Linked DNA regions of Neodiprion lecontei. The protein of the gene in region 2 purifies or fractionates together with the protein of the main gene of each other region. This does not show direct contact. Links are inferred from orthologs where the notes say so. Each region holds a gene or a part of one and is shown on either strand. Other genes may lie near its edges.

Region 1 (7,760 bases), on a different chromosome or scaffold from region 2:
TGAAAAAAATAAAAATAGGGAAGTACAGTGTTTTTTCAGCCCTCGCCAAATGACCTTTCGATATGTCCGAGGTTCAGTTTCTCGCGTGGTATTGTTGTGCGACTTTTATCCCCCCCCTCGTAAAACACATCAGTTGTACCATCGGTTCTAATATTATGCGCAAAGTGTGCATTATTGACGGTTATATTGAAATCCAATAATTAATTTAGCATTAATGAAATCAACCGTATATTTAGTTGTTATTGCACTAATGGACCCCGATACTTCTATGCCGGATGTCAATACCCTGCACTGAAATACTGGTGACCCGCGGTAGCAAATCTTCGCATAGTGCGTAGGAAGAAAATAATGTGCCAGTCCTATTTCAAATATTCATGAAATGTATTTTTAATATATTACTTCCATTATACTTGGTGGAAGCATGTTCATATTTGAACATCATTACGAAGTGTCTGTTGTGATGGATTTTTGATCATTCGTATATGTGCGTCTTACAGCAACGAATAACTTGAAAATGCGAGTAGGTATTGCTCGTTATCGCTTTCAAAACGTTTCAAGAGAAATGTAAATGTCGCCAATATTAAATTTGAGCAAATTCACTGCTCTAAAAAACTTGTTGAATTAGGTCATTGAACAAAAAAATAAACTAAGCAATCGTGGGTATAATTATTTATCTTTTCAAGAAACCATTAACTCTGTTGAAGTCTACATACCTTATTAACAATTCGTAAATAGGTGACGTACAAATCAACTGATAATTTTCAAAAAAATTCAATATATTTACGAAGAAGTTTTCACGAGAACTTAATTTTTGTTTTTTCAAAATGTTTTCAAAGAGTTGTCAAACAAATTTTGTAATTCAAAATGTAAATATTGCAATTAATTTTGAAAAAAAAAATAATTCAGAGCAAATATCGACCTAATTTAGAATTCTTTCTTCCAAAAGCCTTCGTGATTGTGTATTTGAGTATGACATGAGTAACGAAAAATTTTAAATAAATGAATGAATAGTAATTTCGCGTACCTAGTATCTAATTTTAAGTGAAATAAAATGGCGAGTCGATTCAGGCATCGTAGAGAAATTTTAGAAAAAACTTGGATTCTACAGCTTCATCCTATTTAGCCTAGTCAAATAGAAACGGTAGCGATACCTCCACAGGCTGCTCGAGTAGCTTCGAAATTTCAATATTTCATTTCTTTTTAATTGTTGAATTCTTACGAAGACCAATTCCCGATTAAATTGAGAAAAAGAAATGGTTTAGAAAAAAATGCTTTACAGTATTACATTTTTATACTGTAACATTTTTGCAATCCTCTGTTCTCAAAACAGAATAATAATATGAGACTTGAAAATTGCTACCGATTTTGAACCCTTCACAAACAAAATAGTTACTAATTCAGAATGTTACAATCGTTAAAGCAAATATCTGATGATTATATCTGTAATATACTCTGTATTGTTGTGTGTGATTAAATCAAAATGCTTTCAAATTTTACCCTTCATTACAACCTGCTAATCGTTAAATCATGTTTTATATTTCCAGCCGTTGATCCTACGATGTTCTCGAGATATTTCTGGAATTCTGGAAGATCCAATTAATGAAAAGAGGCTTCAGAAAATCGATACTTGAGCAAAAAAACTTTTAGCTCAAAAAAAAGAAAAAGAAACCCTAAGCCATTATTATTTGATAAAAAAATAAATTGCTGTCAACAAGCTGCTATTGATTGTTTAGTTGCCATTGCAGGATTCCCTGGAACTTAATTGGTACAAGAAAGATCTTCTAGCTGTGGATTCTCTGTTGGAATACCAACCAGGATTGTTCTTTGCAGAAAATGACAATAATGGTAAAGGTAAGAAATTCATTTCTCCGCCTTCTCCGATTTAATATTGCTTTGTTTTTTATTTATACCTATAATTTGGCCAACACTTTAAATAGGTTTAACAATTAATATTGTCATTTCTCATTTCGAAATTAGCTTGTGCCCTGAAACATTTTACACTCAGTCCGATACTAACGATAAGTACACGGATCATATTCATGTACATATAAGGAATATAATTGAGCAAAATATAATTGCCATTAGTGAGCTATAACAGCTTATTCTAAGTTTTCATAAAGTCGCAGACGGAATAATAGCGCTCTATATTTGGTGCGACATGATCAATATATTAAATGTCATATCTTATGCGTTGCATTTACAAAAGTGTATAAAAAATAATATTATTTATAAACCATCGTCACTTGACTAACTCTTATTCCTTGCGCGCTCGGTCCATGGCTGTTTGTTTTGCCCTCTTATTGGCCAAGTATATTGACCAGAAGAATCCAATCAGATTTACTACCAGCACACGTAGCTGTAAAAGAATGCAACTTGTATCAACAAATACATATGGTTTTAGAACTTGCTAATTACTAGGATTTATATAAATTGGTAACATAATGTAACGATTTTTGTTGTAAAATTCTAATAACGTATTCCTTATTGGCAAGATTTGAAAGTATGTAGTTAAAATTATGAATCAATATTTTTCTGAGTTCATATTATCTATCTGATTACCATTGGTGGGACGAATGTTATGTTGATAAATTGGAACAGTGTTAAGTACTTCCAATTTGCCGCTAGAACGGGCCAGTATAACTTCTCCAACTGAGCGTAGGATGTTTCGTGAGTTTTTCCCTGAAAAGTAGTAAATACATTTAATTATTATGCATCGCTATATCCTATTGGTAAATATTCAAGATTGGATTATGTACCTCAAATCGTGCGAGCATGTACAATGACAAGACTTGGAAACATGGTGTATACAAAATTCTCTCTATCAGCAGAATCCCAAGCGAATGCTTTGTTAACTTGTGGATATGCTGGTAAAAATAATGAGGCACTGGTCCACCAAAAATGAAGCTAAAAAGAAAAAATTAAACGAGATAATACACGTCACAGTGTTGAACGCGACGATTAAGTCGAACGTTGCAAAGTTCGCGCATTCTTACTAAAACGTATACAGCATCCTGTTTTGGACTACTTGTTGGGATGAGTAAAAAACTACGTGAAATCCAATACAAGAAGGTTCGTACAAAAATTCGCAAAAATAAAAAGGCGGTATCATTTTGTTAGTATCGAGAAATTCTATATTAAGGAGAAACCTTTGAGTTTTGTATTATTATAAGGTAAAAGAAAACATAGGAAGCCTTTAGAATATTATAGTCACACTGTAACTACACGCACCCTTTGAAACCCTACAAATTTTGGTTAGGAATTTTTTTTCTATCTCAGTTTTGAAAATATCTCGATGAGTTATTTAAATACGAATAGCCTGTATATTTTAATAATGTCTTCGGATAGAATATATTCGCGATGCTCACACGGTGATTAATTATCTGAGTAGCTGAAACGGATACTGTTGCAAGGAGTCTGGATAGATAAAGTTCCATAGTACAACATGCCCAGGCAGTACACTTTCTGACATGCCGACTATCATTTGGCTTTTGATAGTCAATTAAAAGTCAACGCACACAATAAAACTGACTAAAAATTATTGAAAACTTGCAAAAATCGTGACTCGTTAACTAAGCTTGGTAATCTTTTGCCGACCGTAAATCGTATTGCTATTTAGGTGGGAGTCGTGAATAATTAACAAAGCGAATTTCAGTGATATTAGAACAGTATATGTCGGAAAATGATTGTGTAAAGTATCGAATGTAGTTAGAACAATATCACACAGGATTGTATCGATTTTAAGTAAATAAGATGTTATGGATAGAATAAAAATACTCTACAGTAAAAAAAAAATCAGAAACCAGTAGCTATGTTCATTTTGTAGACAATTCAAGATACAGCATCGATATATGGATATTTTTTGGTACATGTGTGGTGTGCCAAGTCTTTCGTGAGATTGAAATTTGTAATGTCAACGCAACACTAACGTAAGATTAAGTTACTTCTATTATTAGTGAAGGTTGTGGGAACAGCGGGGCAAAAGTGAATTGCCTACTGAGATCCTCAAAATATCCTGAAAGGAAATCTTATATCCTCATTTTTTGATACCCTATGAACCCTGAATAATTGGGACGATAAAATTTTTTGTTCATACATTTGCCGCAACAACGTTATAAACACCAATCTCATTGTCTTATTGAATGCTACAAAATAAGTGATTTTAGATTGAAGCTGCAAAGCGTGTTGAATAAATTATTGACCTTCTCCAAAGTTGGTACTAGTTGTGTAGAGTTTAATGCCATACAGCAAACTCAGCGCAACGAAGCAGGAGAAAACTTGGATACACCATTCATTTTGGTGAATTCCATTCACATTTCAGATCTGGTAAATACATAATCTCCAATTCGAAAATATAATTCCTGGAATTCAAATATTGCTCTATTTAATCAAATGAAATTGTATATTGATAAAATATGCCTTTCGCCTAAAGAATTCGAGCGTTTTATCGCAACTCAATAGTTGATAAGTATCACACGAAATATAAAGTATGCTTATAATTCCCCATACCTTTCGATCATGAGCCAAATACCCATCCATGTATGCATGTATTGTACTTGATAAGATGGCTTAACAAGAATACGGCTTTTTTTTAATAACTGCGTTGCAATTGTTAAATTGAAACTCGTCTCTTATACCTGGCGAGGAAAGGATAAAATATTGCTGATTTATAACACGAGGCTGAAATAATTTTTGGTTTCTTAGTCTTAAGACACTTTGCACGGCCAACACACACATTTTGTTAAAGTATCAAATTTGCCTCACCTTGACCATATACTTCAACTATTTTGATGAGTTTATATATTCGAAAATTTGGAACAATTTCAAATGAATATGTGATATTTTGGTATTCAACACATACAACAATGGGCTTGTTGGCGAGAACTGCCGAGAGTCGAGACTCCTTGCAGACCTCGTTACATAATTGGCGCTGGCATTGGTAATGGTCGTGAGCATCGCGAATAGTAATTAACTTTATCTGTAAAACAGTGTAAATTAAATTTTTCGTCTTTTCTTGTTTTTATTTGGAAAATTTTACAAATTTTTAGTAAGTTAAACATGTTACAAATAGATGATTGAATATTAGACAATTAGGTAATAAGGCATCTGAGTAAATATTTGTTGTGATTTTTAATCATTCCAACAAATCTTTTACTCAAAGAACTCTTGATATATCGATATGTACATACTATAGTGAAATATTCATTGAAATTTACATGCGTAAATGATGCCAAGCAACTTACCCGAATAAAGCGAATGCAATCAGACTATCGTGATTGAGGTGCTTCGCTCTGGATAATTTCTGTGATACATAATTACCCAAAGTTGCGATGCAGCAACTGGAATTGAAAAATACATACCATCTAATAATAGAAAACTCTTGTGATACACAAGTAATTCTGAGTTATGTGATACATCGGTGTTGGTACTACTTTTTTTTTTCACTTTGCCTGATTTGCTGGAATTTCTAGTAAAGGTCTTACAGTAAAGATATATGCGTTGGTTTTAATATGAAAAATTTTTCAAATATCGCGGAAAATCATCAAACAATCAACTCATACGAAAAGTGTTCATTGACGTAAAATTCTTCTCGCAAAATTACAAGTGTGTCGTAAATATGACGAATTATTTTTTACCTCGTAAGAGCCTTCGTTTTTAGCGGAGTTGAATAAAGACTATGAAAATAAGCTCCAACCAGTTCGTAAACAATGTCTACAGATTTTGATAACGCCATTGTCACGAGTTATCGCTGTTTTTGGGGTTGATCTTCTTTAATCTTCACTGATCTCTACTTGCGGTATAGTGTCTCTGACCTCTATCGTCTCTTGAGTCTAGTCTCTAGTATCGTTATCTATCTTACTTTTTTCTTTTTTTTCTTCTTATTTCTGCTCAATCATACTTATTTCCAATTATGCTGTTTTTTAACTTATGGGTTCTTTTAACTCGACTAGGGCTATGATTGGATAAACAAGACGAATAATGTTACTATAGCATATCATCAGTCAACGTGTGCTGTCAGTTTTCACCTAGGAACCAGTAAATTGTAGAAGAAGAAGTCTCAGATTTCTAAGCTACAATTTGTAGGTATTGCAACGTGCCGGGCCACGAGTGTTGCGTACATGAAATGCGATGAGAACCGTTGGCGGTACGTCGGTAACCTATAATTGAAACCTTCCATTTTGGAAGCTTGCTACGGTTTTTCACTTTTTACATTTCCGACCATCCAAGCATTCTGATTGATTTGCAAAGTTTAGTCAACTGATCACAATGCTTGGATGGCGAGAAATGAGAAAAATGAAAAACCGTAATAAGCTTCCAGTTTTTAAAATCTAGAGATGAGCGTTTGCAGCAATCTGTCGGTAAAATTGTTCATCCTTATTCCAATTCCATATTGTTCCTCCGGCGATCCACCTCTTTATAGTCACTTATTAGTTACTATTACTTCGTGGCTGAAAAATCCAAGCGCGCTTCAAGCACACTTCAAGTGAGTAAATATTGTGGAGTAGAGCTTGGCTAGCCTCATTTGCTTCCGTTCAAGCTCTCACGTCAAGAATGCTAGAACAAAAATCGTGCGGTATGAACGAGAAATCATTTTACAACACTGTTCAATGTCAAACTTTTTCTGCCGATGGGAATTATTTATTAGCTGGGAACATATATGGCGACGTTTCTGTCTATGAGTAAGTACAAACGATTAATTTTTTAATTCAAGTAATTCAATAATCCGTCGACCTGCCAGGTTAAGTTGTATAGTTTTACAGCATACCCATAGTGATAGGTTTTAATCTTACAAACTTGATTTTACGAATATTGTCGTAGTTGATGATGACAAACATCATCAACTTTTACAATTGGAAAATTATTCACTAATAGGTTGTCTAAGGTACTGGGTCCCTATCATGGAGATGACTGTGATCCAAGAGGGCCGAATTATCAATTCACTGCGTATAAACAACAACAAGTTCACAGCATTATAGCAACTGATAAATTTCTGATTACCGGAACGGTAGGAGAAATATCTGGATGGGACTGGAAGGTTGTGACTTCCAATAAAGTATCTAAAATTAAAGTTTCCTGGACGATTCACATACCAACCGTTAAGTAAATATCAAATTGCACAGTACGCTATTAAAACTGTCATGTATTTACAAATTGATGAAACTAATTACATTTGTTCATACATATTCCACTTATTTTCAGCTGGTTTTATTTCTCTTTTCTAATAATTTAAGGGACAGCTACGTTAAGCCAGATGTCAACTACATGCTAATTTCACACGAAGACAACATATTACATGCTGGTTGCGGTGATAATAAGATATATACGTTCAGCTTAGAAGATGGAAAATTACTCAGAACACTTGAAGGTCACGAGGATTTCATCCATGCTCTTTCAATTTTGTAAGTAAAATTTATTAACATCTAGAGATTATTTCATAATAAATAATACATTTGGGTCATTTTGAATACTCACATTCATTATCAAACGAAACAATTATTGCAAGTAGTTATTTTCAAACTGAGGTAAATTCGTAGTCTCTTGTTGAGAAGTAGCCTTTTACAAGATTAGACAGAATAGAGTTGGTATTAAATGTGGGTTGTGGAGTGTACATCTGGATCCAATCAATTTAAACAGGCATTTCAGACATTATCCGATTTTTAAAAACTTAAACAAAAAAACTATGTAATCTAACATTATAATTTGTGAATAAGTTTTTTCGACAGTAACATTTCGATCTCAATTTTCCCATGTTTGGAACTAGT
Region 2 (5,901 bases):
TGGAATGGCATTCACATTTCTGAAAGTCACGAAAAACATGAAGGTACGGTGATCAGAAAGCAGTAGATTTTTATCACATTGAAGTGCGACTCAGATGATAATAATAATAACAATTGTATTCATTGGTCTGATTTTACAGATTGGTGCTTCTCTCTTTGACGAAGAAGGTGCAAAAATCGTTAATGACCTTCTGGAAAAAGCAAAAAAGAATAACGTACAAGTACATTTACCTGTGGATTTCCTGACGGGTGATAAATTTGCTGAAAACGCAACTGTTGGAACTGCTGATGTTGAAACAGGCATTGCTGACGGCCTTTTGGGTCTCGACATTGGTCCTAAATCACAGGCTATATTTGCTGGTAAATAATAATAGCAAACAACAAGGGATTGACACTCTCGCTATGGGATGAATCCGAAATTGATACGGCTTTCAAATTACAGAACCTCTGAAGCGAGCAAAGGTAATCGTGTGGAACGGTCCGGCAGGAGTTTTTGAGTTTGAAAACTTCAGCAAAGGTACAAAGAGTCTGATGGATGGTGTTGTTGCTGCCACACAGCGTGGTGCAATCACGATAATCGGCGGTGGTGATACAGCTACTTGCGCAGTAAAATGGCAAACAGAAGACAAAGTTAGCCATGTCAGTACTGGCGGTGGTGCCAGCTTGGAGCTTCTAGAAGGCAAAGTTTTACCAGGAGTTGCGGCTCTTTCCGATGCCCCATAAATGGGGCAAAAGGTTCCTGTACAATTCACAAACTCTTGACTTTTCAGAGCAGATTAGCACTGTTTGAACCACTATGTGTATATAGAATATCGATTCCTGAAACGTGATATAAAGATTTAGTTCTATGTAATCTCTTTAGATGTCACGTTTTATCTCTATAAGAATATTGTACCAAAATGTATCATGTTGCTATTTAATAAAAGTTAACGATTCTAATTCTAAATTCATGTGAATTATGCTGGCATATTGTATGCGATCACCTAGCTTTACATTGACCTGGAAGCTCCAGTCGTCTAAGAATGTCAATCAATAGGACAACCGCGTGTAACAGTGAAAATGTGCCATACCTCAGAAGTAGTCCTAAGGGTTCTGGCTGTCCACCTCTGTTCACTGCGATCAATTAGACAATTTAAGACTTCTCACTTATCTCGAGGACATGTTAAATATAACAACATTGTAACGATGAATAAATAACAATTTATGTGTATAAACATCTAACTCATGGCACTTACAAAAATGTTGAAACCCGTCCCATGAACAGACTAACAAACATAGCCATGTCTCATGTGGCGCAAGGGTATAATAAATATTAACACGTACCTAGATGAAATAAATCTGCTGAACCGAGTATAACAGAATAAAAATTTACTATCTGTAAAAAAAAGTAGTAACGCGTATAAGGACATATTTATTATTACCTTATAATTACCATTTTCCCGTAGGTGGCTAGTGAAGATCACAGATCGTGTTTAGGTTTTATTTTTAAATTATAATATGGTGACCTATTCCTTATATATTACATCTATATGCATAATGCATGTATTGTCAGTAGGGATGTGACTGGACCAGAAGTGTTAAATCTTGTCAAAGTCGAATTTTCGCATCCCTAACGTTATGTTTGTAATTCGTACATAACATTGCGAAGTATATACATGTATACACGTACCTACACCGCATTTTAGGTAAGATACACGTAAAATAAGAAAACAAACCCTATGCACGGCGCATAGAAAATTGTGCGAGGCAGTTGCTACATGAAAAACGATCACGTACTCCATACTCAAACCGATGTGCACACAAATGAAATAAAGTCATGAAATTAACCGAACAACTACCCCACATCATATTAATTTCAATGATGAAAAGAGAATTTTATGTAATCTATCATTGAAAATGCAAATGACTGTAGATATGCTATAGATATCTGTCGGCACTAGTGTTGCGAAATAAACATGGAAGCTCAGCAAATCAAAAAATATGGTAAAGGCAACTACTGAAGTGAAATATTTTTGTCATTTCAATCTAGGTCTTTGTTTATAAAAAACAAATAAATCTTACTATTGGAGAATAAAAGTTTTTAAAATGGCCATTTCATTAAAACAATGTTATGAAAATCGATACTGACGAAGTTTGACAATCTTTTTTTCTTTGTCAAACATATTGCGACATTTCTAAGGCTACGTAACAATTTTATACTTTTACATGACGCAGCAGTTTTCAGGTGGGTCAACTCCAGGTGGAAAAACTGGATTTCCTTCAGCATCGCACTTGAAAAGTGCAGGAGCACCGACCAACTCTTCTGGTGGTTGCCCGCAGTTCTGCATTTGGTTCATCAATGCCAATGTCTTTTCAAAGCGAGCCTTTTTCACTTCATCAGAGTCGTCTTCTTTCTCATTTTCCAGCTCTGCACATACCTACGGAAGCGAACCACATAAATGAATCTCGCATCAGTTTCTGATATTATCTCTCATTATAATTTCAGTTAAAATGTTTGCCTGCCTATGGTGACAATTATTAAATTGCACACCTTTTGCATGAGATTTAATTGTTCCGTGTATCTTTCAAAATCAGCTGCTGGTAGGGTGGGTTTTTTTTCTTCAAGCCACACTGGATATTTATCAACTAACTCTTTCATTGTGGGATATAAAACCTCCTTGGACAATAAAGACTGCATCATCCCTTGCATGAAAGATGGGAATTCGCCAGACTCTTCCTCCAGAGATGTTCTCCCGAACATAGCAGCCAGATCTGCTTCTCCCAATCCTGGCACCGGGTTCTATTACAAAAAGTGTACATCAAAAATCAAAATTTGTGGCAAAATATTCTGAAAATAAAATACTACACATGTAACCTAGTGTTCTATCAATATGATTTAGTTGAATATATAAAAAAGTGCTCAAAAATCAAGGGTTATCTTCAGTGTTGAACATCACCTGCAGATCCTGACTCGTACTGGACAAATCTTTAAGCGCTTGTGAAATGGCTGACTGAAAGTCACTGCGAGAACTTTCGCTCCCAAGATCGCCTTCCCCTGTGATAGCACTGGCTACAGTTTGTGCCATTTTTTGGAAAGAGGCTCCCAGATCGTTATCATCACCTATGCAATAAATTGTGTTATAACAACTCGACAATTATTTCTTCAGTTATCACCATTTTGTATCAGGTTCTGTAGGTTTTTTTCGAACTGGTCTGCAGCTTGTTTGATAAAATCTTGCGTCCACTGATCTTCAGCGCCAGCTGCGGCATCCGGCTGCTCCAATTGTGCCGACGATGCAACTGCCGTTGCATCGGTTTTTGGTTTTTCGCTTTGAACCTGATTGAAATCCTCGAGAGCGCCTGGAAAAATTTAAAAGTTTGCTATTACATTGATTTCAAATTCAAAATTCACATCTGATGAAACCTGCGTACTAAAATTGCAAAAACTAAGGTTAAACCGAATTAAATTGATAAGATGACCTACATATATCGAATTCCTAATAATAAACGGATAAAGCATGCATTTTATTTTTTGTACCAAGACAACAATTGACTAAGCAGGTGTTATGGAACAATTGACAAAAATTCTAGGTCAATTTCTAACATTACATAACAGTAAAATTATTGAAAAAGGAAGACTGTATAAAATAAAATTTTGATCTATTATCTGGTGGCCAGAAATTTCATTGGAAGGTTATAAATAATCTTGACTTCATAATTATCGCTAAATAATGAAAATAACAGCTATAGACGCTGTTCGTTTCAGTGGTTATAGGTTATGTTTGTGCATAATAATTTTTCATCACCAAGTCGTTGCTGATTTTTGCAAACGGAGATTACGCCGTAAATGAAAATGTAATTTGCGTCAGTACTCACTATCCAATAAGTCGTTTAATTCCGCATCTGCAGGTTCTCCAGATTTTTTCTTATCCTCAGACATTGTCGAGTTGCTTCCCGCTACGTCACGCGCGAACAATTAAATAAATCCCAAGCCTAAAGACCTCGCGCGCTTCTGCTTAGTGTATTACAAAAATTAAATTCCAGCGGCCGAATCACAACTTTCTTTGCGACGCGTGGCGTACCAATGCCGCGTATCAGCACAAAGTTCAACCCATATAACCAGATGAAAAATTTTTTCGCAACTTAATTAACTTATTTTCCTTGCCTTCCTTATTTTTTATACAGATTCGAGTAAGATTTAATGAAACTTTTAATGATCGCTTTGGTCACGTATACCTACGTAGTTTTACTTGAATTGCATTATTCGGATCACGAATAACGGAATATTCGATAGGTATCGTCGTTCACAAAAAATTATCAACCTATCGCATAACGGATACATTCATTAGTCACTAATTGCCTCCAGACGCGAATGTGCACGTGCAACGGTGTATTAAGGGCAGACGGACTTATCGATTGAATGATTGATTGCAACAACGCTCTGTTGGCAATATCAGGATTTTATCTGTATAAAGTACTTGCACATATTCAACAAATTATTTGTTCATATACATAGTGGTAATCTGTATTAGCGTACAGTTATAAACGTCAAGTTACTCGAATAAGGGAAAAAAATAAATATTTATGTTTATTGTACATATTTTGTGTTACAATTGAACAAGAATTACAACTCTGTTAGGCAGATCATCGATCTGGCTGCACGCAAGAGATCGGCTATCTCTCCTGATTTGTCTCATGATCTGAAAATATTTGATCTAAAAGCTGAGCACACATGTCAGCTTCGTCGAAACTTTCTTCTGCCCTTAGTTCACGTTGATGACGTTCTAGAGTCTGCCTCAGGCAAAGTTGCGGCCTTCTGCATTCCTTCAATGCTGGCAAGTAGTTATTTTTGGCCAATCCAGCTAGTACCCTCAATAGCTGGTCCCTTGAGTTATTTACAAAAAGAAGAATCCATATATATTAATTCCGTTAGCAGTTCGGACAGAAATATTTTGTAAGTGAAGTAACGGAATTTAGTACCTTGTATCTGGATGAAGACCTTGCATTGCCAGCAAACCAGCCGCTTGTTCGATCAAACCCATATTAACAAGAGTTGTCTTTAAATTATGGGGATTGCCATCTTTGCTACATAAAGATGATAACAGGAAGGCAGATTTTATCTGCAGTTTTTCTATTGGACTTTGCAATGCCCTTAGCAGAACTGAATAGCCATCATTGACATTCAGGTGAGTCAATGATACTGGGTTCTCCCTCACCAGACCTAAATGATGAAACATCGTGATAGCAACATAAACTCAGTTAATTGATTACATACTCTGAACTTATTCTTCCAATTTATTCTTCAGCAAGAATGAGGCAGGGCAACTTTTAAAATCAAATATTAGTAAATCTGTCTGTATCGGTGATCATGGTAGATATAAATTCTCTCGAATCGTTTCTGATTAGTTTATGAATACAGAATGATGACATATTATGTAAAAATGTGGACTTACAAGAAACTGCATATAAGGCCTTAATTCTGGTCTGTTCTGAGGGGTCTGTGTCTACCATATGCAGTAATGTCGGCATCAAACCAAACTCCAAGACCTTTTCTTGACAGTATGGATTATTTTGCGTCAACTCAGCGATAATGTCAGCTGCCCTCCATCTGTGACTGCTGTACTTAGAATTAAGGCAGGGTTCGAATATCGCGAAGCCTCCAATTTTGTAAAAGTCATTTGCAGTGTCCATGTTGTCGACATAATTTGCGATCACATCCAGTGCATTATCGTATTGGGAAGGTTCATTCTCAAGCTGGAGTTCGCTTGCACTGGACAACACTTTTATCGACTTTTGAAGTTCCTCTATCACATTTACAGTCATAGAAGACAACGCTTGATTCAAGAACGCTTGTCGCTATACAGAGAAAAGAAAATATAAGCTTATTTTCCTTAATTGATGAAAAAATAGAATTAATTTCAAA

Evidence for each region. Proteins that work in one complex are often made in the same cells at the same time.
Region 1: the proteins of peroxisomal biogenesis factor 19 (region 2) and peroxisomal membrane protein 2 purify together in Homo sapiens (affinity purification with mass spectrometry; 3 studies listed by BioGRID and IntAct, counting the BioPlex papers as one, with this or other methods). This does not show direct contact. The link is inferred for Neodiprion lecontei from reciprocal best matches to the Homo sapiens genes PEX19 and PXMP2.

The regions. Positions count from the first base shown.
Region 1 is NC_060266.1:5,732,784-5,740,543, forward strand, and holds the start of peroxisomal membrane protein 2, read right to left. Parts: upstream 6,017-7,760; 5' UTR 5,732-6,016; coding exon 5,634-5,731; intron 5,337-5,633; coding exon 5,241-5,336; intron 2,905-5,240; coding exon 2,757-2,904; intron 2,680-2,756; coding exon 2,560-2,679; intron 2,357-2,559; coding exon 2,255-2,356; 3' UTR 1-2,254. Other genes in the region: THO complex subunit 6, read left to right, coding at 6,550-6,677, 6,871-7,098, 7,230-7,397. UniProt on the Homo sapiens protein: Seems to be involved in pore-forming activity and may contribute to the unspecific permeability of the peroxisomal membrane.
Region 2 is NC_060263.1:34,408,524-34,414,424, reverse strand, and holds peroxisomal biogenesis factor 19, read right to left. Parts: upstream 4,131-5,901; 5' UTR 3,919-4,130; coding exon 3,855-3,918; intron 3,339-3,854; coding exon 3,153-3,338; intron 3,100-3,152; coding exon 2,936-3,099; intron 2,779-2,935; coding exon 2,530-2,778; intron 2,417-2,529; coding exon 2,201-2,416; 3' UTR 723-2,200; downstream 1-722. Other genes in the region: phosphoglycerate kinase, read left to right, coding at 1-43, 140-359, 442-722; hsp70-binding protein 1, read right to left, coding at 4,653-4,863, 4,959-5,199, 5,432-5,834. UniProt on the Homo sapiens protein: Necessary for early peroxisomal biogenesis. Acts both as a cytosolic chaperone and as an import receptor for peroxisomal membrane proteins (PMPs).